7 linked regions of the Canis lupus familiaris genome follow. The protein of the gene in region 3 purifies or fractionates together with the protein of the main gene of each other region. This does not show direct contact. Links are inferred from orthologs where the notes say so. Each region holds a gene or a part of one and is shown on either strand. Other genes may lie near its edges. The genes, in order: RNF11, PTPN14, WWP1, TXNIP, SMAD6, PTPN21 and SPART.

Evidence for each region.
Region 1: the proteins of WWP1 (region 3) and RNF11 purify together in Homo sapiens (affinity purification with mass spectrometry; 3 studies listed by BioGRID, with this or other methods). This does not show direct contact. The link is inferred for Canis lupus familiaris from reciprocal best matches to the Homo sapiens genes WWP1 and RNF11.
Region 2: the proteins of WWP1 (region 3) and PTPN14 purify together in Homo sapiens (affinity purification with mass spectrometry; 3 studies listed by BioGRID). This does not show direct contact. The link is inferred for Canis lupus familiaris from reciprocal best matches to the Homo sapiens genes WWP1 and PTPN14.
Region 4: the proteins of WWP1 (region 3) and TXNIP purify together in Homo sapiens (affinity purification with mass spectrometry; 4 studies listed by BioGRID and IntAct, counting the BioPlex papers as one, with this or other methods). This does not show direct contact. The link is inferred for Canis lupus familiaris from reciprocal best matches to the Homo sapiens genes WWP1 and TXNIP.
Region 5: the proteins of WWP1 (region 3) and SMAD6 purify together in Homo sapiens (affinity purification with western blotting; 3 studies listed by BioGRID, with this or other methods). This does not show direct contact. The link is inferred for Canis lupus familiaris from reciprocal best matches to the Homo sapiens genes WWP1 and SMAD6.
Region 6: the proteins of WWP1 (region 3) and PTPN21 purify together in Homo sapiens (affinity purification with mass spectrometry; 3 studies listed by BioGRID). This does not show direct contact. The link is inferred for Canis lupus familiaris from reciprocal best matches to the Homo sapiens genes WWP1 and PTPN21.
Region 7: the proteins of WWP1 (region 3) and SPART purify together in Homo sapiens (affinity purification with mass spectrometry; 5 studies listed by BioGRID and IntAct, counting the BioPlex papers as one, with this or other methods). This does not show direct contact. The link is inferred for Canis lupus familiaris from reciprocal best matches to the Homo sapiens genes WWP1 and SPART.

What each region holds. Positions count from the first base shown.
Region 1 is NC_049236.1:10,032,379-10,036,372, forward strand, and holds the start of RNF11 (RING finger protein 11), read right to left. Parts: upstream 2,801-3,994; 5' UTR 2,697-2,800; coding exon 2,574-2,696; intron 1-2,573. UniProt on the Homo sapiens protein: Essential component of a ubiquitin-editing protein complex, comprising also TNFAIP3, ITCH and TAX1BP1, that ensures the transient nature of inflammatory signaling pathways. Promotes the association of TNFAIP3 to RIPK1 after TNF stimulation.
Region 2 is NC_049228.1:12,220,824-12,224,323, forward strand, and holds part of PTPN14 (tyrosine-protein phosphatase non-receptor type 14), read right to left. Parts: intron 831-3,500; coding exon 687-830; intron 1-686. UniProt on the Homo sapiens protein: Protein tyrosine phosphatase which may play a role in the regulation of lymphangiogenesis, cell-cell adhesion, cell-matrix adhesion, cell migration, cell growth and also regulates TGF-beta gene expression, thereby modulating epithelial-mesenchymal transition.
Region 3 is NC_049250.1:33,146,069-33,150,331, reverse strand, and holds the start of WWP1 (NEDD4-like E3 ubiquitin-protein ligase WWP1), read right to left. Parts: upstream 2,801-4,263; 5' UTR 2,672-2,800; intron 1-2,671. UniProt on the Homo sapiens protein: E3 ubiquitin-protein ligase which accepts ubiquitin from an E2 ubiquitin-conjugating enzyme in the form of a thioester and then directly transfers the ubiquitin to targeted substrates.
Region 4 is NC_049238.1:59,434,007-59,438,236, reverse strand, and holds the start of TXNIP (thioredoxin-interacting protein), read left to right. Parts: upstream 1-1,430; 5' UTR 1,431-1,719; coding exon 1,720-1,969; intron 1,970-2,480; coding exon 2,481-2,553; intron 2,554-2,663; coding exon 2,664-2,811; intron 2,812-3,030; coding exon 3,031-3,133; intron 3,134-3,266; coding exon 3,267-3,523; intron 3,524-3,615; coding exon 3,616-3,772; intron 3,773-3,880; coding exon 3,881-4,032; intron 4,033-4,173; coding exon 4,174-4,209; 3' UTR 4,210-4,230. UniProt on the Homo sapiens protein: May act as an oxidative stress mediator by inhibiting thioredoxin activity or by limiting its bioavailability.
Region 5 is NC_049251.1:31,364,635-31,368,789, forward strand, and holds the start of SMAD6 (mothers against decapentaplegic homolog 6), read left to right. Parts: upstream 1-1,355; 5' UTR 1,356-2,558; coding exon 2,559-3,384; intron 3,385-4,155. UniProt on the Homo sapiens protein: Transforming growth factor-beta superfamily receptors signaling occurs through the Smad family of intracellular mediators. SMAD6 is an inhibitory Smad (i-Smad) that negatively regulates signaling downstream of type I transforming growth factor-beta.
Region 6 is NC_049229.1:60,038,125-60,041,624, forward strand, and holds part of PTPN21 (tyrosine-protein phosphatase non-receptor type 21), read right to left. Parts: coding exon 3,484-3,500; intron 419-3,483; coding exon 290-418; intron 102-289; coding exon 1-101.
Region 7 is NC_049246.1:4,340,956-4,344,455, reverse strand, and holds part of SPART (spartin), read right to left. Parts: intron 1,148-3,500; coding exon 953-1,147; intron 1-952. UniProt on the Homo sapiens protein: Lipophagy receptor that plays an important role in lipid droplet (LD) turnover in motor neurons.

The sequences.
Region 1 (3,994 bases), on a different chromosome or scaffold from region 3:
AGCTCTTAGCATTAGCCTACACCGTGCAACACAAAAAGGACATCTTTTAACCACCCACTACAGAAAAATACTGTGTTCCTCTATAATCAGCTTTAAAGATTTTTAAAGATCCTATTGCAGCTGAGACTATTCTTTCAAGAAATATGCTATTCTTGTAGCTCTTTTAATTATATACTATTTTTGAAGAAAAAATGTTACTTCTGTCCACTGAAAATATAAATCATTTCTTGGACTGGTGTTTGGACTGGTGTTTCTCAGATCATTTAAATTAACCATTCCTAAAAATCTTATTTCCTTTGGGAGGGGACAAAGCTTTTTCTACAAAAGTTTCTTTATGCTCCCATTAAAGTTTTATTTCAATTGATACGAAATTTGCATCAGTATCTGGGTCACTCACTTCAAAAAAGGGCAACCACAAAAACTCCTGCTGTCACAAATAACATGTTCCTTCATGATTTAAAAAAAAATCTATCACCTAGTTCTCCTGGAAAAACCAAATACAATTCCTAAAAATTAAGTTATCCTTAACACTGTATTACCGTGCGGGTAAGAGAAAAAGGGCCATGAACTCAGGATATTTAATTTGCCTGGAAAGGGATTAGGGAGTATGGAAGGAGATTTTGAAATAAAAATCATACCTCTACAAAAATTTGCTCAGGAAGCTAAAATAAGCACATTGTCCTATAGTATTTGAGGGAAATGAAAAGTGAAATATAAACAATTTACTTGCTTCAAAGATTCAAAAAGATGAAAAGACTTCCCTGTGACACTCTCTGGAAGAAACAGGTGTGTAAACTTACCACACAAGGTACTGAATTCAAATTCATTAATTCATTCAACATTTAAATGCTTAAGTGCCAGTAATTTCTTTTTTTTTTTTAAGTGCCAGTAATTTCATGAAACATTGAGGATACAGTCCTTGTTCTTAAGAGCTTAGTCTTCACTTATCCCACAAGTTACTGAATATTTACTATGAGCCAGATGCTGGGGATGTAACAGCATAGCAGGTGACATAAGGGTCCCTACCTGCCAGCAGCTTACACTGGAGGCAGAAGGAAATGCCATAAGGATGAAACCTACATCTAACAAAACAAAGATATTAACACCCCAAGTGTTGTTTGTGCTGCTTATGGAATGGGGGTGGGGGGGTGGAGGGTGCTACACAAACAACTGAGGGATGGATTCACAGAGGGAGGGAGGGGAAGGTAGAGACCTGGGAGAGTGGTGACAGGAGAGCTGAGTCTTTAAAGAGGATTAGATGTTCACCTTGCTGACCTTGGGGGAAGGGATCCTAGCAGAGGGAGCAACTGGAGCAAAGGCAGAGATGTGAACTGATGTATTTGGCAGGCCTGAAATACAGAATGTGAAAGATAAACCATGGAGGCTTCTGTATGCCACGATTAAGACTGGACTTTATTGGCATATATATATGAAAGGACCCTGAGGGTTTTATTCACAAAACCAGGATATGTGATCAGGTTTTTCTGGTGTGATGAGACACTGGTTTACACAGGAATGAGAGAAGAATAACACTAGATAATGATGTCACCACATGAAACAACAAAGGAGACTGCCCGGTTAGAAAACTAAACCCCCTTCAGCTAAAAAATTAAGGCATTTAACTATTTAAACCCCTCTGGAAAAAAAGCTAACCAATATCATTCAAAATTGAAAAGTAGAGAAAAGGTTTTTATATATTCTAAATAAGATCTACATTATCTATTTGGAGTTCAAGAGATCTTAGCTTTTTTATTAACTGTAAACATATATAGGACGGATTGCTGTACAAAAAGCGATGAAACTGTTTAGGAGCAAGTCTTTGATACGAAGTGAGAACCACGAGTAACAGAAGATATTCAAGTCAGGTTTAAAGGTTTCCAAAGTTCAAGATACTCAAGTTTTATTGAATCAGCGCGTTTAAAAGGTGTGTCATAGGGTGGAGCGAGAGGAGGAGGGATCAAAATTAATACATACACACACACATATGTATAAACAAGTAACTCCTGATGTCGCCAGCACTAAAATCACCACTTGATCTTTTCTCATGTAGGAGAAATGAGCACCTACCAGATCCAATTAACGCACAGGGTACAGGGAGGGGTGGGGGAGCGGATGGCCACACATGACGAGGAGGTGGGGGGCAACGACCTACCCAGAACCCACAGTCCAGGCGGCGGCGCGATGAGGAAACGTCCCCCACATCTCATACCAGACTCCACGCTTTAGACATAAAGGCGGAACGAGGTCATCCCCAAATTCCACAAGCGAGGAGGATACTGTCACCACTCGGATCCCAGAACTCAAGGACAGAGAGGGCCGTCCCCACGCCGTTCCTGATGGGAGGTGAAGGGTCCCCCTTACCCCGGGAGGGGCGGCGATCACCTTCAGTCCCCGCCCTAGGGCCGCCGCCCCCCAGGCCGGGCCCGGCGAGGCCGGGGCGGTGACAGCCCCTCGGCGCCCCCCCGGCCCCTCGGCCCCCCTCGGCTCCCCCGCTCCCCTCCGGCCCCGACGCCCCCCCACCCCCCGCTCGGGCCGCCTCGCCCCGCTCCTCCCCAACACACAGCCTCCCCTACCTGATATGGCGGCGGCGGCTCCTGGTCCGGTTCCGTCCCCTCGCCGAAACTAGCGCGGTCGGACTGGGACTCGTGAAGCAGGGAGATGTCATCCGAGGTGGGGGACTTGAGGCAGTTCCCCATCTTCCGAGGCTACGAGGTGTGATCCGGAGGAGGCAGAAGCAGCGGCGGGCCGTTCGCACGCGCCGGGCCAGCGAGGCGGGGTCGGCGGCAGGCCGGGCTCAGGCGGCGGCTCCCCCGCGCCCCGGCGCCGCCGGAGGGCTGCTCATGCCAGGCCCCGGCCCGGGGGCTCAAGGCTGGGCTCCGCTGGGGTCGCGGCGGGCGCCTCCTGCGAGGCGGCACTGGGGGGGGGGGGCGGGGAGACGGAGCCCTTCCCCACCCCGCCCCCCCGCGGGGCGGCGGCGGCCACCGAGCTGCCGGGCCTAACGCGGGTCAGGGGCGGGGGGCGCGGCTGCCGCGGCTGCCCCAGCTGCTGCCTCAGCGGCTGCTGCCCCCGCCGACGCCGGAGCCGCGGCCGCGGGCCTCATCCTACTCCGCCTCAGAGCGGCGGCGGCGGCCAGAACGAGGCGGGCCGCGGCCGTGCGTCACGCGCCGTGCGTGCCCCGGGCCCGCCCCCGGCGCCCGAGCCCTGGGCGTCTCCGGCCGCGGCCGCGCCCCCTCCCGCCCGGCGGCTGTTCCCGGGGCCCTGGCGGCGGGGCCGGGCCTCGGAAGCCGCCCTGCGGGCTCCCTCCCGCGGGTCCCTGCTCCCTCGGGCGCGCCTCAGGCAGCCTCCTGCCCGCCGCCGGCCGGGTGATGTGCTCGCAAACCCTCCTCCCAACGGGTCGCTCCCGGGTTGAAATGTTAGGGAGGCTTCTTCCCCGTTCTCCCTTCAGAATAAAGTCCAAGCTCGCCCGTGAGCCGGGCCACCGTTCACACAGCTGCGCGATCTTTTTAAAACATAAATTGACCCCCCATTTAAGACCTTCACTGGCTTACCCAAACCGTTAGGAGTATTCTTAAACGGTTTACAGATCTACTTCCCCAATCTCATTAGCAGCATTGTCCCCTCAGATATCTAACTGCGGGCTGTCTAAAGTACCTCGGGTTCTCTTAGAAGACTGTTCCCTCCGGCTGAGGCCTTCACCCGAACTGCTTCTCCGACCTACGCGCGCTTCGCCTTCACGCCAGACCTCCTACCCCCCATCAGGCTAACCGTTATTCCCAGTTGTCCTTCCTAAATTCAACTTCGTTTCCTCTAACCCTCCAGTCTGGACTGGTGGCCTTCTCCATGCCCTTCGTCCCTGAGCTTCTCCCCATCACAGCCTGATCGAGCCGAATCATCTGTCCCTCCTCTGTGCACGGCCTGGGTGCTGCCTAAGGGACAGTAGGCCCTCTTGGTTGAGTGAACAAAGAGCCCGAGAAGCAATATGTGCAAAGGAAGG
Region 2 (3,500 bases), on a different chromosome or scaffold from region 3:
TAGTGATTCCTTAAATGATTCCTCTAAAGTCCCTTCTGCCTTTAAACCTTTCTAATACTTCATATATACTGGCAGAAATCTCAAACAGGAATATTACTAGCACTCCATTAAATTTACATGTTTCACTGTACAGTAATTTTAGGAACTAAAGGAGCACACCTTTCTTCACTTCCAAAACACCACCATGCAGTTTCTTCCTGCTTTTCGAAACCAACATTCTCACAATGTGTTATCCTAAAAATTATAAATCAGCCGCATTTTATAGTCAACCAAGGGGACAGTATATTAAAAGAATTCTATAAATGTTTAGGTAAGATATTCACTCCCTGATAAAGGGTAATGGTTTGCAAATTTCATAGAAGTTCAGAAACTACAGTAATGGCTTAACTTCCTCATCTTGCAAAAAAGAGAAACAGGCCCAAAGAAATGAAGTGACTTGACCAAGGCAATGCAGCTTGTTTCAGGCTGGTCCCGTTAGGCAGGCTTCACTACACCAACTTGACAAAGAAACTTGAGATGCTGGAAAGAATCGATTTAATACAATGCACACCAGGTCTTGCTAATCTCAAATTGGAGAATTAATTCATCAAATAAACCTTAGTGCCGGCATGTTTGGGCAAGGATCAAGCTCTGGAATCCCAAGACCACAGAGAATGAATCACGTGTTTGACAAGCCCAGCGCTTACCCTCTCGTCCATGGGAACTCGGGTGGCATCAGCTCGATTCTCTTCCCGCCCCGAGACCCGGGCAACTGAGAGTCCATTCAACGCTACCAACATGAGCGGCCGCTTCTGTGCCTCCAGGCTTGCCATCTTCTGCTTCTCTAGATTCTTGTGGCAAGAAAAGGCATGTTCTCATTGTTTATAATACGAGTAGAATGCTGGAATGTGTTTTAATCTCCCCAAATCTGTAACTGCCCAGCCAAGGAATGCAGACAATCACCATTAGGAGGGCAAATTCAAACACAACCTTCCCATTATTCCCACTGTGCCTGAGGTAGCCAGGTCCTACAGGACTCCTGAGATTTTATCTAAAAATGGATGCATGAATGAACTAACAAACAAACAAGTAAGAGCAAAGACTACCTACAAATATCCCCCTGCCATGGAGCTCACTCAAAAAGGGGGCCGGGGGAAGCAAAACAGTGTACAAGCAAGACATTTCAGGAAGGTAAGGGCTGAATGAAGACAGGGCAAGGGAAAGAGAAACAGTTTTCATGAACAATTCAATCCAATCACAGTGATGGACCTTTTATACAGATTAAATGATTAAAAAAAAACCTTATAGATACCACTTGTAGCACTGTCAAGAAATCAAGACTCATAACCCATACAGAAAAATCTTCCCAAGTTTCCATTCTGAGAGGCTGTCAGATGGAGGATGTCAATCCTATGCTGACGCTCTGGTCCCTGGGATAGCATCCCCAGTACGAGGGCTGATGTGGTTTAGCAGCCTTGCCAACACCGAAGTCTGTGGTTGTCTAACATGATCCATGAGGCATTATCCTTCATGCCGCATCAGAAGGCCCCAAGGAGTAGGCACCAGGGCTCCCAATGACCATGGTGGGAAATTACTGAACGTGATGCAACTATGGGAGAATACAGATTTGGGGGCGGAGCAGGCCAGTCAATAAGGAAAGGGTTGGAGGTCAACACATGGTCCTTGTGTGTGGTATTTTGACTTCCTCTCCATCCTCACCTGCACCAACATTCTGAAGTTGGTCAGTCAAGGCTCTCGGTGTTAAGTCTACTATTGTAATTCCTTATGCCTCCCCAAATGGACTGAGGTATAAAAGAAATCTCCTTTTACCCAGCAAGCCAATAAGAGCATTTCCCAAAAATAGTTTTGTCTTGGAAGACAGAAGAATAGCAGGACTTCCGAAAGCATACAAGCTGAGGAGTTAGACAGCATTTAAGATTTTGATTCTAACAAAAGTAAAACCACTTTGTAGATTCCTTTGGCTGCCCCAGAGGAAGGGGTCATCTTATCCCTGGTTTCTTTTCAAGGCTTTAGGGTTTTTTTTTTTTTTTTTTCTTAGTCTGTCATGTATAAATTTAGTCCCCAGTGAGGTGTGATGATGGAGCCATGGTACTGGCAGATGACAAAGAGTTAGTGGATTATTCTAACTGGGGGGACGGGCTGGCATTTCCACCTTACATGAGGTCAGCCTCTCAAAACCTCTTACAGTCAAAATGGAGCTCTGGCCTTTCTGAGTGATGCTTTATTCAGTGACAAGGCCAACCCATCAGACAAACTAGGTAACCAGGGGAAAAAATTATTAGCTACCTCTTTTAATTGGGAACATTTCACTTCCTCTGTGACATTCTGAGAAAAGCAATCATTTTGCAAGAAATGTCCCTAAGGTCCTCCAAATAGTCCATCTGCTTCCTTCCCATCTGGATCGAAGTAGGCCTAAGGCAAAAAGTAACTAACTAGTCTTCCCTGGAAGGATTACTAGTTACCTGCTGAATACTGAAATCCCAGGGATAAACAATTTCTCTTAGTTCCTTCTCACTTATCCCATCAGCTTGTTACCAGAGATAAAAAATAAGTAACTCAAAAACCTGATTTGGACTTTTCTCTTCCTGGCACCCGATTTTGGGCTCCAGGGCTACAAACAGTGAAATGGCCTCAAGGCAGCAGTAGGAGCCAGAAGGAGGAGCTATCACAACAGCAGGCAGGAATTGTCCATCAAATAGACGAGTGGCTCCAAAATTATGGAGAGCTGCCTGCAGGGGACATTCTCACCATCCCTGTCCCCCTCCGGTTCCCATTCGGTTAAATTTTCTCACTGTTTTTTTTAGCCTAGAGAAGCCTGGACAGCCTTCTCCATTCTTACTCATTCCTAACAAGCCAGGCAAAAGCTGCCCACAGTGGGGAGGGCAGAAGAGCATCTGAGATGTGGGAAGGGCATGGGAGTAAGTTTCCTCATTAAAAAAAAAAAAAAAAAAAAAAAAAAAAGGATGAAGAACCATCTCAACCTTCAGAGTCACTGCCAGTGTCACCATCTTGATCCACACAGTGGCTCACTGAAGAACCTCCTAGTCCTTCTCTGGGGTCAAGGCACCAGCTAAGGGTAGTAGTCCCTGAGCTCCTGAGTATATTTAATTTGGAAAAACAGAACAAAACAATGGGAAAACAAAGTAGGAATGGGTAATGATGTTCCTGAGCTACAATTAAGAAATGAAACCAGTTATTCATTATTGTTCGTATGAAGGGGGGGTGGGGACACACAGTGGAAACTCCCTTGCATCTCTGTGATGGTGCATGAAGCTCTATGTAGGGAGTCAGTGCCATGGGTTTGGATACAGGGTTTTGTTGAGTATAGGTTAACAAGAGGAGAGGATGAAAATGACCAATGTGAGGCTATGGGACCATGCAGGCATCAATAAACATCAGATCAGCAGGGGAAACAGCAAAGCAGAACGCTTGGATTCACAGGTTCTCAAGTTGTGGTAAAGGAGCCTGGGCCAGGACGTGCTGAAAATCCATTTACCAAT
Region 3 (4,263 bases):
TTAACCTCTTAGGCTAGTCTGTTATATAATAGCAAATAACAGTACCAATTCTTGGTAAACTGTAAACCACAACACAAAGTAGAGATATTGTATTTAAGTGTATATAAAGTAAGTCTCTACAGTAGGGGTTATCAGTAAATGGAAGAATTTGAAAATTCTATGGTTTTAAAAAGCCTCCAGTAATCCTGAGAGCTGCTCCTAGCCCAACCTACTGACCCTTCCATAGGTGAGCTTCAGGTGAGTTCATGGACTTCCCTAAAATTATATACAGAAAGCACAGGTGCATATGGAAATTTTCCATGCCAGATTTTTTTTAGTTTCACCAAGGATTAGCAATCACCAAAAGGCTAATAATTACTGCTGTAAAGTAACATACATCTGCCGAAGATAAAGCTTCCATGGATACTGTTCAAAATGGTACCATTATTTTCCCAACCTGGGTCAGAATCTGTTATTTTTACTTTCTTCATTTTTTTCTCTGACCATCAAATTCTGTCCTTTCCATTCCTAATATTCCAGCCTTAGTTCAGACCCTCATTACCTATGACCACAGCAATCAAGGTCTTTCTACCTCCAGATTTCTACTTCAATTCACAGTACACGTTGCTGCTAAATTAATCCTCTGAAAACAGTATTTTAAGCTTTTCATTCGCAACTCAAAAAATCATCTGTAAAACCCCTCAAACCTATTATATCCAAGATCATTAGCCCAGCCTTAAAAGCAATCATAAACCGGTTCAAACTTTTACTTCGTTTTATCAGCCTTTATGTTAGTACAAATACTTTATGTTCCACCCAAATATAATTGTTTCCCTCTCCCCAAACATATGAACTCTGTGCTCTAATTTCTTAGTCCCTTTTCTCTGCTTGGATTACTTTTCTTGGTTTATCAAAAGTCTCAGTCACCCTTCAAAACAAAGATTTCAAAAGCCAGAAGCTCTATGGATTAACCCTCCTTACCTCACCTTGCCAAGTAAGATGTGAGCTCTTCCTCTTCTGAATTTGAATTCTATATGAAACGTAAGGATGTATTAAAAGATAAAGGAGGCATTTGTGATAGTCCTACCTGCCTAACTATTCTGGGAAGGCAGAAACTGCTGTACTCCATATTACTCCATCTACCTCACACAATCATGCAGGAGATGCTTAATAATTGTGCAAGGAAGTGAAGGAAATTTCAGCCTTCCTGGGGCAAAAAGCAAAGATCACTATCTCTCTGAAGGCAGAGAACTTATTTGTGACATCCTCTATCATACCAGGATTCTAAAAAACATAACCCCACTGCCCTTTAAGTCTTGGCGTTAGATGTCTTATAAACAGTTCTGTATTTTAAGGGAAAAGCTACGTGAAAACATCAATAAGCTACATACCAAGTAACTATTCTACATACTTTTTACACTTCTCAGTGTGAGTAGCTCCCAACACTCGGCCAGGAATTTTTCAGTTCAAAAAATATTAACTGTTTACGAGAAGTGATAATTTGCAGTCCCAACTAGTATCTACCTTACAGCCAAAGCAAAGTCACGTAAGAGAATGCCTTTATTTTTATTTTTTAAAGGTGCATTTTGCTTGTATCATCCACAGAGCCTTAGGAGACAGGTCAACTGGATTCCTACAGAAGGATGAGTGCTTGCAGAAACCCGCATACATTGTACAGCAGGTACTTCAGGTTAAAAAAAAAAAAAAAAAAACACCAAAGGGGGAGAAAAAGAGAACTTTGGACATTATTTTCCACTCTGACCAGTAGCTTTTTAAAGCCGAAACTCAAAATCTTTTTTTTTTTTTTTTTGCACAGTAGCCTACACACACACAAAAAAGATAAAAACTCACCAAGCAGAAAAAGTCACACCAAGCCCCTGGAAAATATTTTATCCTGGAAGAGTAAGAATGTCAAAATAAAAGACACTCGTCTTGGGTAGGAAAGGTTTCCCTGTAATTACGGAAGCAAAGGACGCTCAACTAACTCCAGACGATGGAGTCAAGGAAGGACTGAGGATCCTTCGGAGGTTGTAAAAAAAACAAAAAAACAAAAAAACAAAACAAAAAAAAACAATGGACAAACTACAAAATTAAAACCTTTTTTTTTTTTTTTTTTAAAGATGAAAGGAGAAGGTCCAGGTCACTGAGGAGATAAGGAGTAAAAACTGCAAGGTCACTGGGACCTACCAGGTCACACAAAGGTGGAGGTGGGGGTTGTGTTGGGGTGTGTGTGTGGGGGGGGGGGGGGACTGCAGAGTCAGGGAAGAACCCGGAGGGATCAAAACACGTCAGGAAAATAAAAACGCCTTTTTGTACGGCCGGGAGTCTTGCGGTGAAAGTCAGGGCAGCGGTGCAAGTCCACGCGCGGGGATGGCTTCGGAGGGGCGCTGCGGGGGGAGGACGAGGAGGCGGACGGAACGCTGAGGGGAGGCTGAGGGAGCCTCAGGACGGCGGCTGCAGAGTCACGGAGACCCTGGGCTCCTCCGGGATCCTCAGCTCGGGCCTGCGCCGGGGCCAACGCGGGGCAAGCCCCGTGACCCCACCCCAGAAAACTCCGGGGCCCCCGGGCCGGGGGGGGCGGCCGGCGCGGCGCGGACGGTCGGCGGCCGCCCCTCAGAGGCTCCGGCCCGGGGGCCGCCGCGCCCGCCCCCCCGCGCCCCCCGCCCCCCGCCCCCCGCCGCGGCGTCCTTACCCGGCGCAAAGCCGTCGGCTCCCGGCGGTCGGGCGGCCACTCCAGCGGCGGGGCGCCCTCACCCTTCCGCGCCCAAGATCGCCATCTCGCAGCAGGCGCGGCGGCGGCGGCGGCGGCGGCGGCGGCGGCGGCGGCAGCCACCCAGGCGTCGGCCCCGGCAGCCCAGGCCGCCTGCAGCCACTTGGAACCCGCTCGCCGCGCCGCGCTCGGCGACACCCGACCCTCCCCCCACCCCCACCCCGGCCGCGCGCCGCCCCCGGCAGACCCCACACCTCCCGCCTCAGGAGCGCGCCGCGTGCTCGCGTCACCGGCGCCGCGCCGCGAGCGCGCGCCTGCGCCGCGGCCGCCTCAGAGCCCCCCTCCCCCCACGCCGGGACCCGGAACCCGGGCTTCCCGCGAGCATGCGCAGCGAGGGCGCCCCCGCGAGGATGCTTTCGGAAAACTCCGCTCCTCCGGGGCTGCGGAGCGCGCTCGAGGAGAGCCGAGGGCCAGCCAATGGGAGGAGGGGGGCGGGGCCCAAACCTGTGGAGGGGGCGGGGCCACCGCTGAGATTTGGGAAGAGGCCTCTGAGCGCGAGGTGGCTGCTGCTGACCTGGCTTCCCCGTCCGTCCGGGACTGGGACAGCGCGGGTGAGCGACCTCGGGTCAGGGCCCCCGGCGCTGGCCTTCTCATCTCGAGTGCTTTACTGCAAAAGTAGGCTGTTTTTAATAAATACTCCTTGACCTGAGCATCTGACCTAGAACCCCACTGCAAGAGTAAATCCTGCATTTGACAGGTGGCCACAGAAGACTTCCACTTTACTCTCATTAGTCACCAAAACGTTCGCCCCCATAACGCTACGGTGATAAAACTGGTACTGAGCAGGCACAGGTGTCGGTGCAGCAAATTCGCACGGTGCCGCCATGAAAAAGAGTACATTCTCCCCATTTATAAAAACGAGTTAACTAAGTCTCTAGAAGTTCTGTTGGTTCTGTGCGTTGCTTTTAGAAGACCGCCCTGCAAATAGAAGTCATTGGTGACCACATTACTCACCAGATGACTGGTCTTCTACTTCAGAAATGAGAAAGGCCATCAAGCATGGGTTTCTACAATTTTGGCCCACCCGCCTCACCCACGCCCCATAAATTACCTACATCCACACCCGAGCCTATTGGTTTTCCTTCTGACTCCAAGGCTGGGTGTCTGCTTCTCTCCAAAGAGGACCTCGTTACTGTCCATTCCCTCCTGTGCCCCCTCAGCATGATGATGTTTTAATTATGTTCTGTCCTAAATTTCTCCTCGGCTTTAAAACCTCTCTCTAGTTCTCCCTCTTTTTCCATCCTAATTAAGCTCTTGAAAAAGCTATGTACCAAGAAGAGCATCAACGCCCCGTGAAGAATTGTAAGATTAAATAATAACTCTGATTGAAGGAATGTACCTTCTCTTCCTCTCCCTTCCATTAGTTTCTACACTCCGAATTGATACCAGGGCCCAACGCACACCATATCCACTACGATTATTCTAAAATACACACGTGAGCGTGTCGTTTCACTGTTTAAAATCTTTCATTGGCTCTTCAGAGCTTTCAAGAGAAGGATTAACATGATCTTCCA
Region 4 (4,230 bases), on a different chromosome or scaffold from region 3:
TAAAAATCTCCTGATACTTCAACACAGACAGGAGAGGCCCAAGAATCAAAAAAAAATAAAAATAAAAATAAAAAAAAAAGGGTGCGTCCATGTGTGCCTTTATCTCTGCAAGTTTGTTTGTTTTTGCATTTATGAGTAATTTCTCAGGAGTCAGGTCCTTAAGGCATCTCATGCCAGGTTGGGGGGAGGGGGGAATCTGACAAATGACAATAAAGAGTGATCAGTCAGGGTCTCTTTTAGCTTGAATACAGTGATCCTTTTGTCTTCTTTCCTCACTGGGATTTCTAAAATAAAGGGCTTAGAAAAACACTTTTAAAAGATACGGAAACTCTTCCTTCAAACAGGAATGCAGCCATCTCTTTACTGACACTTTGATCATATAAACAAGAGAACTTTTAACTCGGCTGTGAGGAGTGTGGGCTACGGATTTAGAGATGCGCCTCTGATTTGGTGAGTTGCAGAGGGGATGAAGACAAGGAAGAGTGCAAGCAGCTGAGGAGGAAAGTGAAACGAGGGAAGCATCTTGTTTCAAGTACATACCTTACTAAAAGAGTAATATATTGGTAACTGGGGGAATAGAAACAAAGTGTTCCCCCAACTTTGCAGGTAGAAACTGAAGAGATGAGGGGGAAAGGAACAGGATGTGAACACGCCCTGATTCCGTTCCAGGGAGAACAGAGCGAACGGAGAGAGAGGGTACAGGGGCTTCCAGGTTCGGGGGCGCCGGAAAGGGAGCGCGAAAGCCGAGCAGCGCCCCGGACCGCTGCCCACCCACGACGGAGAAGAGCTTTACAATTTGTGACAAGTTCCCCTTTCTGTCACGGTATTTAGGGGTTTGGATAGAGACCCGGGGGCAAGAGAAAGACAAAGGGGCTCTTCCTCAACAGTCACACCAAAGCTCCCTGGCCTCTGCCCCAATTCTGAAGTATTCTTGGAGTTAAGGGATTATTTTTCACCGGACTTGCGACTTGTGAGCCGGAAATAAACGGTCGCCTCTAAATTTATTGCACTGGCTGAGGTTAGGCACGAAATTCCCACATAAGCACATTTTCTTTTCGCTTCAAACGCTGCTCCCACCCCAGAAGCATCTGCACCCGCCCCCCGACGGCCACCCCCCGTGATAAATGCTAGGGTCCGCGAGGGCCCGCTCCCTCCGGGCTTCCCCTGGGCGTCCTCGGGCGGAGGGAGGCGGCCCCGCAGCCCCTCCGCTCCCTCCTCCCGGCGAGGCTGCCGTGCACAACAACCATTTTCCCCGCCAGGAGCACACCGTGTCCACGCGCCGCTGCGGCCTCGCTGATTGGTTGGGCTCCTGGTAAACAAGGGGCGGGCAGCCAATGGGAGGGCTGTGCACGAGGGCAGCACGAGCCTCAGGGCTAGCGCTCGCGTGGCCGGGCGAGCCCGGGCGACTATATAAAGCAGTTTCCGGCTGCTCCCCGCAACTCTCCTTCCGTCTCCTCTGGCGGGGTGGGCCGTTCGGGCTCTCCTAGAGTCGGGGCGCTCCTCCAGCTGTCGGAGAAAAGAACAGAAAGCTGATTTTTTTTTTTTTTCCCCCGGGGATCCTTCGGCATCACCCACAGCTTACATTTTTTTCCAAAATCTTTTTGAAATCTTAGCGGAGAGTTGAAGAGTGAAATAATTTTTTTGCAGAGCATTTTTGGATTTGGAGTTTTGTTTTTTCTCTCCCCCCCGTTTATAACTGTCAAGGCAGCCCAGCCAATCATGGTGATGTTCAAGAAAATCAAGTCTTTTGAGGTGGTCTTTAACGACCCTGAAAAGGTGTATGGCAGCGGGGAGAAAGTGGCCGGCCGGGTGGTCGTGGAGGTGTGCGAAGTGACTCGAGTTAAAGCTGTCAGGATCCTGGCTTGCGGAGTGGCCAAAGTCCTGTGGATGCAGGGATCCCAACAGTGCAAACAGACCTCTGAATACCTGCGCTTCGAAGACACGCTTCTCCTGGAAGACCAGCCAACAGGTGAGTGGCCCCGTTGTTTGTCGGGAGGGTGAAAGCTGATTTGAGAATAGAGTTGAAACGAATGCTTGCAGCTTATGCTGAATATTTCAAGCTGCTAAGGTTGAGTAGCTTGACTTGTATGTTGTTTCCTTTTTTAGTTTTAACTTGCAGACTCCTAAAAAAAGGGGGGGGGTGATTTGTACAGTTTCTTACAGTGTTCTGTTCTGAAGGTGATCCTGAGGTATGCTGCCTTAACTATTTAAAGGTTTTCTGTGTGCATAAGTTGCATATTCTTCGCTCGTTTCCGGTTTGAGAGGGTAGTAGCTTCACTGCCCTGGTTGAGCCTTTCATCATTGCAAGGCTTTGAAACTTTTTGCCCAACGAAATGCATCAGGATCTCTCAAGAACAGAAGGGGGTGAAAATAGGGGACCTGCAATAGACTTGCATGCTGCCCAGGAATTCCTTATCACACAGATGCATTTGAAGTGAAACAAGAAACCTGATGGGCTATTCTTTCTTCTTTCTTCTCAGGTGAGAATGAGATGGTGATCATGAGACCTGGAAACAAATACGAGTACAAGTTCGGCTTTGAGCTTCCTCAGGGGTAGGTGTCTACTAAATGCATCTTTGGACTTTCTTATCTCTAAAATTCGCCACCTTTGATCACCTGTTCTTGGAGAACAGTTTTAGATTGCTTCTTTTTTCTTGACACAGGCCTTTGGGAACATCTTTCAAAGGAAAATATGGGTGTGTAGACTACTGGGTGAAGGCTTTTCTTGATCGCCCCAGCCAGCCAACTCAAGAGACAAAGAAATTCTTTGAAGTGATGGATTTAGTGGATGTCAACACTCCTGATTTAATGGTGAGGTTCATTTAAAAATTATGTTTTCTTGGGTTTCGGGGATGGTAAGTCGTAAGTCAAGTGTCTTAGGCATTAGACTGATGTACCTCAGGGGATCCAGTCCTAAATGGATTACCAAGGTGGGAGGGAAAGTTGCCTATTCTAGGTAAGGAGTAGAAAGAAAAAAGAGAAGGATCTCTAGAAAGTCTCAAAATGTCTTTTTACCCCTATTTAACACAGGCTCCTGTGTCTGCTAAAAAGGAGAAGAAAGTTTCCTGCATGTTTATTCCTGATGGACAAGTGTCTGTCTCTGCCCGAATTGACAGAAAAGGATTTTGTGAAGGTAAAAACTTAATTAAAAAGGTAGTCTGATAAAACAGGAACTGTGGGTTTGGGAGTGAGGGCAGGCTATAGGGGTAGAAGTCCTTAATTGTATTAAGCGTCAGCTAATAAGTTTTTGTCTTTATCATTGTTAGGTGATGAAATTTCCATCCATGCTGACTTTGAAAATACATGTTCGCGCATCATGGTTCCCAAAGCTGCCATAGTAGCACGCCACACTTACCTTGCCAATGGTCAAACCAAAGTGCTGACACAGAAGTTGTCATCTGTCAGAGGCAATCACATCATTTCAGGAACCTGTGCATCGTGGCGTGGCAAGAGCCTTCGGGTGCAAAAGATCAGGCCTTCTATCCTGGGCTGCAACATCCTTCGAGTTGAATACTCCTTATTGGTGAGTGAATGGAGTCCAAGAAATTGTTCATCTGTCAAAATAGTCATTTCTCCAAACCTCTAGTCTAACTAACTGTCATTTTTCCTTTCTAGATCTATGTTAGTGTTCCTGGCTCCAAGAAGGTCATCCTTGATCTGCCCCTGGTAATCGGTAGCAGATCAGGTCTGAGCAGTCGGACATCGAGCATGGCCAGTCGAACCAGCTCTGAAATGAGTTGGATAGATCTCAATATTCCCGATACCCCAGAAGGTGAGCCAGACCTAATGTTTTTTCTTCCTTTTTGACCTGCTTGGGTTTGTGAAATTGTGACGGTCAGGCATTTCTTGGCCAAACTTCTTATGCCTATGTTTTCTCTAGCTCCTCCTTGCTATATGGATATCATTCCTGAAGATCACCGATTGGAGAGCCCCACTACTCCTCTACTAGATGACACAGATGGTTCCCAAGACAGCCCTATTTTTATGTATGCTCCTGAGTTCAAGTTCATGCCACCACCGACTTACACAGAGGTGATCATTGCCATTTTACAAATTGTCCTCTAAGCCTCTTACAGGAAGTTGAATGGGAAGGACTGCTAAACTGGGTGGTTGTTTTAGTTCTTACCCAAACTAAAATAATCGTTTCTTTTGTTTCTCTTCCCCCCACTCCAGGTGGATCCCTCCATCCTCAACAACAATGTGCAGTGAACTTGTGGAAGAAAAGAAGCA
Region 5 (4,155 bases), on a different chromosome or scaffold from region 3:
GGCTGCAGGTAAAAACTTAGCAAATGGTTCTGAGTCCTTCCTGCACACACCGCCCTTCCCCCCGCGCTCACGCGGACTTCGCGCCCCGCGGGGTCCTCGCAGGGCCGCACAGTGCAAGGGCCAGCCCCACACGTGGGCACCCGGGGGCGACCCGCGCGCCCGCGCCCCAGCGGCCCCCGCCGGGGCCCGGCGCCCAGCCCCGGGCCAATGAGAGTAGCGGAATTTCTTTCATTCAGTGCGGGGCCGGGCTGCTGCCCGGAAAGGGGCGGGGCGCCGCGCCGGGGGCGGGGCCGCCGCGCTTCTGGGGAGAGGGCGGTGCCCGCCCCGCGGCCGGACCAATCGGCGCCGCGCCCGGGGGGGGAGGGGGGGACCAGGCCTTTTTTCCCTCCGCGCGGGACCAATCCCGACTTTACAAGCTTGAACTTTTGCCACCCTCGGACAAGCGAGCGCGCCCGAGGAGGTACCCCGCCGCGCCGGCTCCAGGGGCAGGAGCGGCCTTAACCCTTCCCGCGCCGGGCGGCCGCTGCCGCCGCCGCGCCCCCCAGCCCCCCCAGGGCCGGGTGGGGCGGGACCCTGCCCTGCCCCCAACTCACTCGTATTTCCCTGGGGGGAGATGTCGCGGGGCGGGGGCGGGGGCGGGGGCGGGGGAAGCACGACCCCTATCCACATCCCGCTCGGGGGTGCAGAGAATCAATCTGGGGAAAGGGGAGGAGGAAGCGCCCGGCCTCGAGGGGGCCCGGGACGGCTGGCGGTCCGCCTAGCTCCGAGGGAGGGCCGGGGCGACCGCGAGGAGCCGGAGAGGAGACATTCCCCGCCTCTTACCCCACCCCCTGCAACTCCCTACCCCGGGCAAGCCCGGTGCCCCCGTGCGCCCAGCGCCCCGCGTCGCCCCCGTGGCCCGGCGCAGCGACCCCCGACTGCGCAGGGGGGTGCGGAGACCTCGTGCCATCCCGGAGGATCCCGCTACCCCAACAAATCAGCCTCCCCCCCTTCTCCCCAGGGACTCCAGCCGGGAAGGCACTCACGCACACCCTTTTTTTTTTTTTTTTTTTTTTTAAATTAGCCTTCCCGGGGATGGGGGGTTTGCACCAACTCTAAAGCGCAATGCGTGTTTGCAAGTTTGCGCACACGCCAGGGAGAGGCGAAGCGCCGCGTTTGCATCCAAGCCTCAGTGGGTCCACGGAGCCCTCGCGCCGCTTGCCCGTGGTTTGTGTAACTCGCGCGCGCGCGCGTGTGTGTGTGTGTGTGTGCGCGCGCGCGGGCGTGTGCGGGTGCTCGCTCGTATCCGTGCCCGCGGCGCAACGCGGGCCCCACAGCGGGCCGTGGGCGCTGTCAGGCTCGGGGCGGGGGTGCCGGGGCGAGCGTGGGGCGGGAGCCCGGGCTCGGCCCGCCCCGGGAGCCGGCCCCTCGGAGCCTCGGGCCCTGCAATGGGACGTGTTCTCCTTTAAGAGTTAAGAAACTTGAAACCTTGTTTGCGCAACAATCAGCGCCGCGGAGCCGCCAAAGTGTCTAGACTGGCATATGATGGGAGGCAGCCAATGACTCCGCGGCGCTCCTCCGGGGGCCCTCAGTGTGCGTTTGAGGAGAACAAAAAAGAGAGAGAGCCGAGCGGGGGAGCGAGCGAGAGAGCCGAGCCGAGAGAAAGAGCCGCCGGGCGCTGCCTCGCCAGACCTCGCAGGGACCGCGGGGCCACCGGGAGGCACTTTTTGCGGAGGGGGGAGGGGGCCGACCTCTGCAGCCGCGGCGCCCCGGGCGTCCGAGCGCAGCGTGGGGCGGGCTGCGACCTCTGCCTCGGTGGATTGCATTTTTAATTAAGGATCCCCAACAGCTCTTTGGGATTTTTACAGTCTCCACTCATGTGTTGACAACCCGCGTTCAGGAGAAACTTGCTCCAAGTGCATCTAGCGCCTGGGACCTGAGACGGAGTTGGCTTTCCGTGCATGCAATTCCAGGATTTTGGTTTTTGTTTGGGGTTTCTTTTTTCTTTCTTTTTCTTTTCTTTTCCTTTTTTCTCCCCCCCCCCCCCTTCCTTTTTGCAGGGAGTAAGAAGGAAGCGGAGGGTATCAGCAAGCCTGCCTTTCGGCTCCTGCAGGAAGAGCCCATGTAGTTAAGCGCTTGGGTTTCCAAGGCAGGGCTGCCCCGACGCCTCGGGGGGGTTCGGCGCGGGCGCTTTGTGCTCATGGACCAGCCGCGCAACTTCTGAAGGCTCGCCGGCCCATGCGGGGTCTTTCCGGGGCGCGGCGCCGCCTGCAGTCCCCCCTCCAGCGCCGGGGCTGGAGTTGCTGAGCAGCCGGGCCGCCGGGGTCCATGTAGCCGCGGGCCCAGCGCGGACTGCGGCTCGGCGCGCGCGCGTCCCCCGCCGTCCCGGCCCGGCGAGCTCCCTCATGTTGCAGCCCTGCGGCGCCCCTTCGACGACAGGCTGTGCGCGACCTGCACGGCGCCCGGCGGCGGAGCTTCATGTGGGGCTGCGGCCCGCGCAGCCGGCGCCTCGCTGACCGAACGGACCACCGGTAACCGGAGACCGCCTGCCCCCCACCCCCGGCGCCAAAGGATATCGTATGTTCAGGTCCAAACGCTCGGGGCTGGTGCGGCGACTTTGGCGAAGTCGTGTGGTCCCCGACCGGGAGGAAGGCGGCGGCGGCGGCGGCGGCGGCGGCGGCGGCGGCGGCGAGGATGGGAGCTCGGGCAGCCGCGCTGAGCCGGCCCCGCGGGCACGAGAAGGCGCGGGCGGCGGCCGCTGCGAGGTCCGCCCGGTAGCCCCGCGGCGGCCCCGGGACGCGGCGGGACAGCGAGGCGCCCAGGGCGCGGGGAGGCGCCGGCGCGCAGGGGGGCCCCCGAGGCCCCTGTCCGAGCCGGGGGCCGGCGCCGGGGGCTCCCCGCGGGACGTGGCGGAGCCGGGAGGCCCGGGCTGGCTGCCCGAGAGCGACTGCGAGACGGTGACCTGCTGCCTCTTCTCGGAGCGGGACGCCGCGGGCGCGCCGCGGGACGCCGCCGAGCCCCCGCCCGGGGCGGCCCCGGAGGCGGCGGGCGGCGGGCGGAGCCGCGAAGCCCGCTCGCGGCTGCTGCTGCTCGAGCAGGAGCTCAAGACGGTCACGTACTCGCTGCTGAAGCGGCTCAAGGAGCGCTCGCTGGACACGCTGCTGGAGGCGGTGGAGTCCCGCGGCGGCGTGCCGGGCGGCTGCGTGCTGGTGCCGCGCGCCGACCTCCGCCTGGGCGGCCAGCCCGCGCCGCCGCAGCTGCTGCTCGGCCGCCTCTTCCGCTGGCCCGACCTGCAGCACGCCGTGGAGCTGAAGCCCCTGTGCGGCTGCCACAGCTTCGCCGCCGCCGCCGACGGCCCCACCGTGTGCTGCAACCCCTACCACTTCAGCCGGCTCTGCGGGCCAGGTGAGCGCGCGCGCCCGCGGGGGGGCTCCCCTCCGCGCCCCTCGCCGCGGGGAGCCCTCCGCTGCGGGACCCCGCGGGGCTGGCCGAGCTGCGGCTGCACCCCTCTGCCCCACCCCCGCCCTCCACCCGCGCGGGCTGGGCTCCCGGAGCGCGGGGGCCCGGCGCCCACCGTGGGAAGCGCGTCTCCGGCACCTTCCCGAGGCTCCTGCAAACCTAACAGGGTCCGCGTTGGCGTCCCTCCGCGGCCTCGGGGGTCTCCTGTAGGCCGTGGAGGAGGAGGGCAGGCCCGGGAGAAGCCGCACACGAGTGTCATCCAACCGCGCGCCCCCCACCCCACACCCCACACCCCACGCCCGCCAGGTTTACCCCCAGCCTGTGCCCAGGCCTGTAGCATTTGGTACACCTATGCTCCTACCTATGCTGTACCTTCCTATATCCAGGTAGATACAAGTTGTGAAATTGGGCGTAGACAGTTCATGGCTAGAGTCAGAAGTGTCCATAAATTGCCACACTGGTTCCTTTGTATAGTTTGGAGCAATGCTCTCTCCGAGTGGAGACCACCTTCTTGCCCTGGTTGCTCCCAGCATCCCTTGGGTGTCAAATGTCAGCCCCCCACTCCCCCCCCCCCCTCCTCCCCATCATTGTCAGTTCTGTGTCCAGTCTTTCTGGAGTTGAGGGTCCTGGAGGACTGTCCCGAGGTGGAGGAGGGGAGGAAGCCAGGTATTTTATTTACCTCTGAGAACTGCCTCCCTTCTTTGTTCTCTCCCTGGG
Region 6 (3,500 bases), on a different chromosome or scaffold from region 3:
GTGCGGAACCGGGTTGTGATCTTAAACCTCCCATAGGTGACGGTGTTGTGACGGGAACCAAGTCGTGGCCAATACCTGAAGCTCTTCTCCCTTCCACCCTCCTGTTAAAGGCAGGCACGGTCAGGACGCAGCACTGCATCCAGCCACGGGGGCCCCATCACGCAGTGTGTCTGCAGCACAGAACTGCAACCCCACTCTGCCTTCTTCCTTCAAGGCCAGGACTCCCCGTGACCAACATTAACTGCTCCTCTCAGGCTGACCAAATCAAGGAAGAGAGATGAGTCCTTACCTCCTCTGCAGTCACCATTGCTATAATGGCCACTCCCTGTTCCCACACCATCTGCCAAAAATCCTGACAGGTATTCTGTAACGGTCCCTGCGTGGCAATATAATCCCACTCAATTCCACTGACAGAGACCTGAAATTAGAAAAGATTTTTTAAAGAAATTAATATGTGGGGCGCCCAGGTAGCTCAGTTAATTAAGCAGCCGACCCTAGATTTCAGCTCAGGTCATAATCTTAGGGTCGTATGATTGAGCCCCATGCTGGGCACGCAGCTCAGTGGGGAGTCTGCGTAGGATTCTCAACCTCTTTCTCTCTAAATAAATAAATCTTTAAAAATTAATCAATGTGTATTTATGTAGATATGCATACATGTATGCACATTCATTTATGGTGGTACTAAAAAATGAGTTATTCAGAATAAAGATTTCTCTTATTCTTTTTCCTTGTTAATACAATTCCTATTACTACCGGATTATAAATGTATGGACTCTAAATTCACATATCTACATGACCTGGGGCAATTTGCTTAACCTCTCTCTCTATTCACATGTGTAAGATAAAAATGTCCTGTACCTCATAGGGTGGTTGGCAGGACTAAATTAGTCAGTGTATAAGGTGCTTGCACATCAATAGGTTTTCCATACACAGTTGTTAGTGCTGCTGTTACGGTTCTTCTTAGAAAAACAGTATCACCATAACAGTATCCTAAATTTCAAACACAGTTTCCCTTCATGAAGTACTAAACACAGTAGGCAAAGTAGTAACAATCCAGCCAAAACCGAGGTTAAATGCCAGATTTCTGGGGCAGAAAAAAATACTCCTACTGAAAGTGGTCTCCCCTCTGAACTTCTAAGTCAAGGTCACCCTCCAGAATGACACTAAGCTTCCACCTGAGGCTGCATCCCCTTGAGGACAGTCTAAGGGAACAGAGCCATTGCTGGATCTACGGCCAGGAGATTGGGTTAAAGCCCACCGCCCCCCCCCCCCCCCCCCCGCCCCATGTTGGTGACCACAGTGCCTGGGTTATTCTGCCCATACTTTCATTCAGGGCCACCGGCTGGAATCTCACTGAGAGGGGCTCCCTCGGTGCTACCAGCACCACAGTGAGTAACAGGGTGTGGGTGGGGGTCTGGGGCCACCCCAGGGGAGGTGTCAGCGCTTTATTCAGAGGAAAGCACAGGGAGCCCCATGCTGACAGGTAACAGATCTAGGAGCTCTGAGGCTTGGCCATCTTCCATGCTCTTCAGCTGACCTCGGTAGCTTCTGCAATACCCACACAGGACAACTTGATTCAGTTCTCACCCATCCAGTCACAAGAGGCTGGATGAGTTATTCCACAGAAATGCTTGGTTTTTAAATAAATTATACCCAAATTATTTTTTTTTTAAGATATTATTTACTCATGAGAGACACAGAGAGAGGCAGAGACACAGGCAGAAGGAGCCCGATGCGGGACTCGATCCCAGGACCCCAGGATCATGACATGATCAACAACTGAGCCCCCGCCAGGTGCCCCTATACCCATATTAAAAAGCACATGCAGATTCCCAAAGACCATGAAGGGTACTGGCATCCACAGGCAGACTGCCAGGTCTCTGAAAGCGAGTGTGAAACTGCGCTCATCAGATACCACTTGCAAATGAAATAAGATGTGGGCAAGAAGATAGATACCTGACCATGGATACTTCCTCATTCACTCCCAACAAGGAAGCTTCTCCTTCTCAAAATAAAAGGACTGTATCTCCAAGCAGCACATGCAAAATGTACAATGATGCAGAAGAGAGAGCCCCTGGTTTCCCTCACCTACCAGGTGGGAATCATCACTTTTTCCCATTTTAATGGGTGTAACATGACCCCAGTTCAATGGCATCACACTGCCCCTCGGGAAAAAGCGGCACCGCTTCCACAAAGAACAAAAACGATATTGAAACATGATCCCAGGACAGCCAGGATGGCTCAGTGGTTTAGCGCTGCCTTCAGCTCAGGGTGTGATCCTGGAGACCCAGGATCGAGTCCCACGTCAGGCTCCCGGCATGGAGCCTGCTTCTCCCTCTGCCTGTGTCTCTGCCTCTCTCTCTGTGTCTCATGAATCAATAAATAAAATCTTTAAAAAAACAAAACAAAACAAAACATGATCACAGGAAGGCTACCTGGGTGGCTCAGTTTAGCGGCTGCCTTCGGCTCAGGTCACAATCCCAGAGTCCCGATCCAGCCTCAAGTCAGGCTCCCTGCTCAGCCAGTAGCCTGCTTCTCCCTCTACCCTCACCCCCACTCATGTTTAAATAAGTAAGTAAATAAATAAATGAATGAATAAATAAAATCTTAAAAAAAAAAAATTAGTGATGACAAGAATGATGCAAAGAGAACAGACGACACGCGGAAAAGGTTTGGTGACCACCATTAAAAACACCCAGACAGGGCTCCTGGGAGGCTAAGTACATTAAGCCTCAGACTCTTGGTTCTGACTCAGGTCATGATCTCAGAGTTGTGAAGCTGATCCCCAAGTCGAGGCTCTGTGCTGAGCATGGAGCCTGCTCAAGATCCTCTCTCTCAAAAAAAAATAAAAAATAAAAAATATTAAAAAAAAAGAAAAAAAAGAAAAAAAGAAAAGATCCTCTCTCTGCTCTTCTCTGCTCACGCACGTTTGTGTGTGCTCTCTCTCACGTGTGCTCTATAAATATAAATATATACTTATATATATTATTAACATATTATATATTGTAATATGTTAATAATATATTAATAATTAATATATCATTATATATACAAATAATTTCAAAACAAAAACCAAAATACCCAGACATCTTTGCCACATAAGAATCAATGCAGGTATGTGATCACGAAAAACTAGCCATTCTGCCACTCTGGAGATAATCGATGGGCCAGAAAGAAATCTCTAGATTTAGAAGAACGAAGTCCTAAGGTCCTCAGGTCAGGCCAAAGAGTGCTCCCTGACTCCTGGCAGCAGTGTGGGGGGCACAGGGCTTAGCACGTGGGAGGGCGAATGCGGCTTTGGCTCTATTGGTAAAACACCTCCCACCCGGCCAGGTGTATGGATTTCCCAGCTTAATAACATAATTTGTCCCAATGGTTCCAACTAGCCTGTTTTTAGAACATAGACGTGGATACAGTTCTCATCATTCCTGTAGCTGAACTCACAACTTCACAGCCTGTTGTAGCCCTGCTCGCTCCTCTCACCTTAATATGTGACGCGT
Region 7 (3,500 bases), on a different chromosome or scaffold from region 3:
AGAAAAAAATGTATTCTTCCCTTGATTTTACCACTCTTACTTATAAAAATTCTTACATGAGCATCTTACATGAGCAAACTTATTTTATTGCATAACTTATCATTTCTATATAAGGATGAGAACCATGGCTGGCTAGTTTTTAAACAAAGGCTCTTATTTGGTTTAAAGATATGTTTGCAGAGCCTAGTGATTAAAACCTTGCTTCTAAAATATAATTTTCTTTTTGGCAAGGTCCACCTTTCATATTTTCCAGTTATGTCCATTTCTATGTTTTCTCCATTTCAACAAATATCTCACTGAAATAGTAATAAGGTATTTAAGTCTATATAAAAGTAAACAAACCAAAACCTGATTCAAAGAATACTGAATACCAAAAAGATAATCTTCCTCTAATGATAATTCACTAAGGAGTGATCGGACTACCTTAAAATACAAACTTTAGATTTACGATTCTCAAAGGACAATGAATTAGTAGCATATTGCTTGGGAAGGCTGACACCAGAATCACTGAATCAACGTAGTTCAAATAAAACATCCCTCCCACTTGACCCCAACTACTATGCAGTGAGCTGTTCTTAAAAGAATGTATCCTATTCAAGGATAGCAAATATATTCAGAGCCATTCCTTTTGAAAGACACAGCACTCCTCTCTCTGATACACCAAAATAACCCTTTAACCAATGTTTCTCAAAATAATATGCAAACAACAATCACCTAGGCAGGGATCTTGTTTCTGAATCAGTTAATGTGTGCCAAGTACGTGAAATGTTTCTAAGGCTCTCAGATAGGTTGATGTTGCTACAAACCCTATTATGAGTAGCAAAGTGAAACTGTTTTGTCCTAATCCTTTACTTTTAAGGTTAAACCATCTAAATGAACATTCAGATTAACCTAGATTAAGAAGCCGTTTTTAATTTAACTGAAAAAAAGCAGTCCTCCAAAGTTACTTTACCCAGGAACTGACTGACTTTCGCTGCTCCTCCTGTAGCCTGCTTTGCTATATAAAGTCCCCTGGTCACAGCTGGACTAACTTCCACTGGTTTTTCTTCTGGTTGAATCCGTTCACGGAGTTTAGAAGCGCCTTTCTGGATTGCTTTGCCAGTAAATTCAGCACCTTTGACCAAACCCCAGCTCACCCAGGAAGCACCTTTTTATAGGAAAATTTTAAAGTGTACAATATTAGAGCTGATTATACCTGTAAACCCTTTAATAAACCAACAGGAAAACAAAAACAAGGAATTCACTGTTCATATCTCAAACATGCCATAAACTTTCAACTTTACAATTCTAATTTTCTAACTGGATTATATATCTAAGTAAATTCATCTTTAAGAACTTAGGTCACAGATCACTCAACACAGTTCTGAATTACTCTATGCTTCTACTACAACTTATAGGTATCTATCTACATGCTACTTACCACAATGTTACTAGTAAGGACTAATTTTGGGTTTTGATGCCAGTAACATGGTATCTAGCTTGAGGACCCAGGTATCCTTTTTCTTTTTGCTTTAGTCCAGGAACCACTTTTCCTCTATGAAGTGTTAAAGGGTTTAGACACAAATAATGCAAATTGGAAACCAGTAAACCTAAATCTCAAACACCAAGGCAGAACTCTTGCTTGCTTGCTTTGGATGAAAGGCATAAGGCAGGGGGTCCTGGTCCTCCCTCAATCCTAAACCCAAACTCCACAATCTCAGCACCTTTTAGCTTGTAACATGGACGTGAATGACAGACATAAGAATACTCAAAGAACGCATGAGAAGAAAAAATATAAGAAGAAAACTGGGAAGCCTAGATTAGCCATTTTTCTTGATGGTAGTTTCCAGCCCTTCAATGCTTCTCTTACAGCATGCATGAAAAATGAGATTGTGACAGAGAAAGCAGGATAGCATAGACTTCTCTAGTGAAAAGGTCCTGTGCACATGTGGGAAAAGGAGAAGTCAGAAGGAGATGGGAAAAGCAAGAAAAAATATAGAAGAATAGTTTCCTCTAAGAGGAACTGTTACCCTGCCTTGGAGAGCTTACAATATTAAATATTTCTTTTTTGGCTAAACCCTGAAACAACAAGCTTTTAAAGCCATACATATAAAATACCTAAGTATATTCTTCCAAGGTCTGTAGCATGGTTTTTACATAATTACTCTGGCCTATGAGTGAGCAGGCATTCAGCAATCATGTGAAAATCCTATTTATTTAAAAATGCTAACAATGAAAAATAAAGTGCCAAGTGATAACTGATTAGGAGAACTGTTGTTTTTCTTCCTATTTTAGTCAACATGTCTACCTCTAGCTCAAACACTAGCCTCCCTGGAGGAGGACCACGTCTCAAACCCAGACAAATACCATCCAGTCAGGAGTTCCCATAACAAAAAGGGATTGAAGACCTCTATTAAAAAAATACATATGGGTTTTTAGAGTTAACTTACAGGTTGAAAGATTTAGGAAGTAAAAAATCAGCTGAATTTGAAGAAGACTGAGAAATCATAAACGACAATGAAACAAAGGAAAGCTCAAGTAGACTATATACTCCTGCAATGAAACAAACCAGAGGGACAGAGTCCACTGATGACTAATAATAAATGGAAATTAGATAAATGAAAAGTCACAGGACTGATGAAGAGAAATAATTAGGATGCAAATTATAAAGCAGCTATCACCATGTAAGAGAAATAATACAGTAAAACCAAAGATACTACAATAGAAGATGAGAACATGTAATATTTTATTGGTAGCTATTAAGATCTTTTAAAGGGCATGTGTAGGGATCCCTGGGTGGCGCAGCGGTTTGGCGCCTGCCTTTGGCCCAGGGCGCGATCTTGGAGACCCAGGATTGAATCCCACATTGGGCTCCCGGGGCATGGAGCCTGCTTCTCCCTCTGCCTGTGTCTCTGCCTCTCTCTCTCTCTCTCTGTGACTATCATAAATAAATAAAAAAAATTAAAAAAAAAGAAATTAAAGGGCATGTGTAGTGCCAGATATAGATTTCTTTTATCCATATTCACATTATATGCATACATTTAATGCTGAGATATAGAAGGCAATGAATGTTTGCTGAATAAATAAGAAGTTGGCAGATGACTTAAAATGATTTCACTCAAATCTAACCCAATGGAGGGCTCTAATCAGTCTATTTTTTTAAAAGATTTATTTATTTATTTATTCATAGAGATGCAGAGAGAGAGAGGCAGAGACACAGGCAGAGGGAGAAGCAGGCTCCATGGAGAGAGCTCGACGTGAGACTCAATCCAGGGTCTCCAGGATCACGCCCTGGGTCGCAGGCGGCGCTAAACCGCTGCGCCACTGGGGCTGCCCTCTAATCAGTCTATTGTTACAGATCCTCCACTTCTTCCCAAATCAGCTTACTAAATTCTTCATCTAAAATGTTTGGCAGTTGCCTTCTTAAAATGTAATTCTAGCCTTTCAAACCAATATTCTATATAGGTAAGTTTTAAGCAGTTACTTTATGTTTTTTCACCTTTTATATTTATGAAACACAG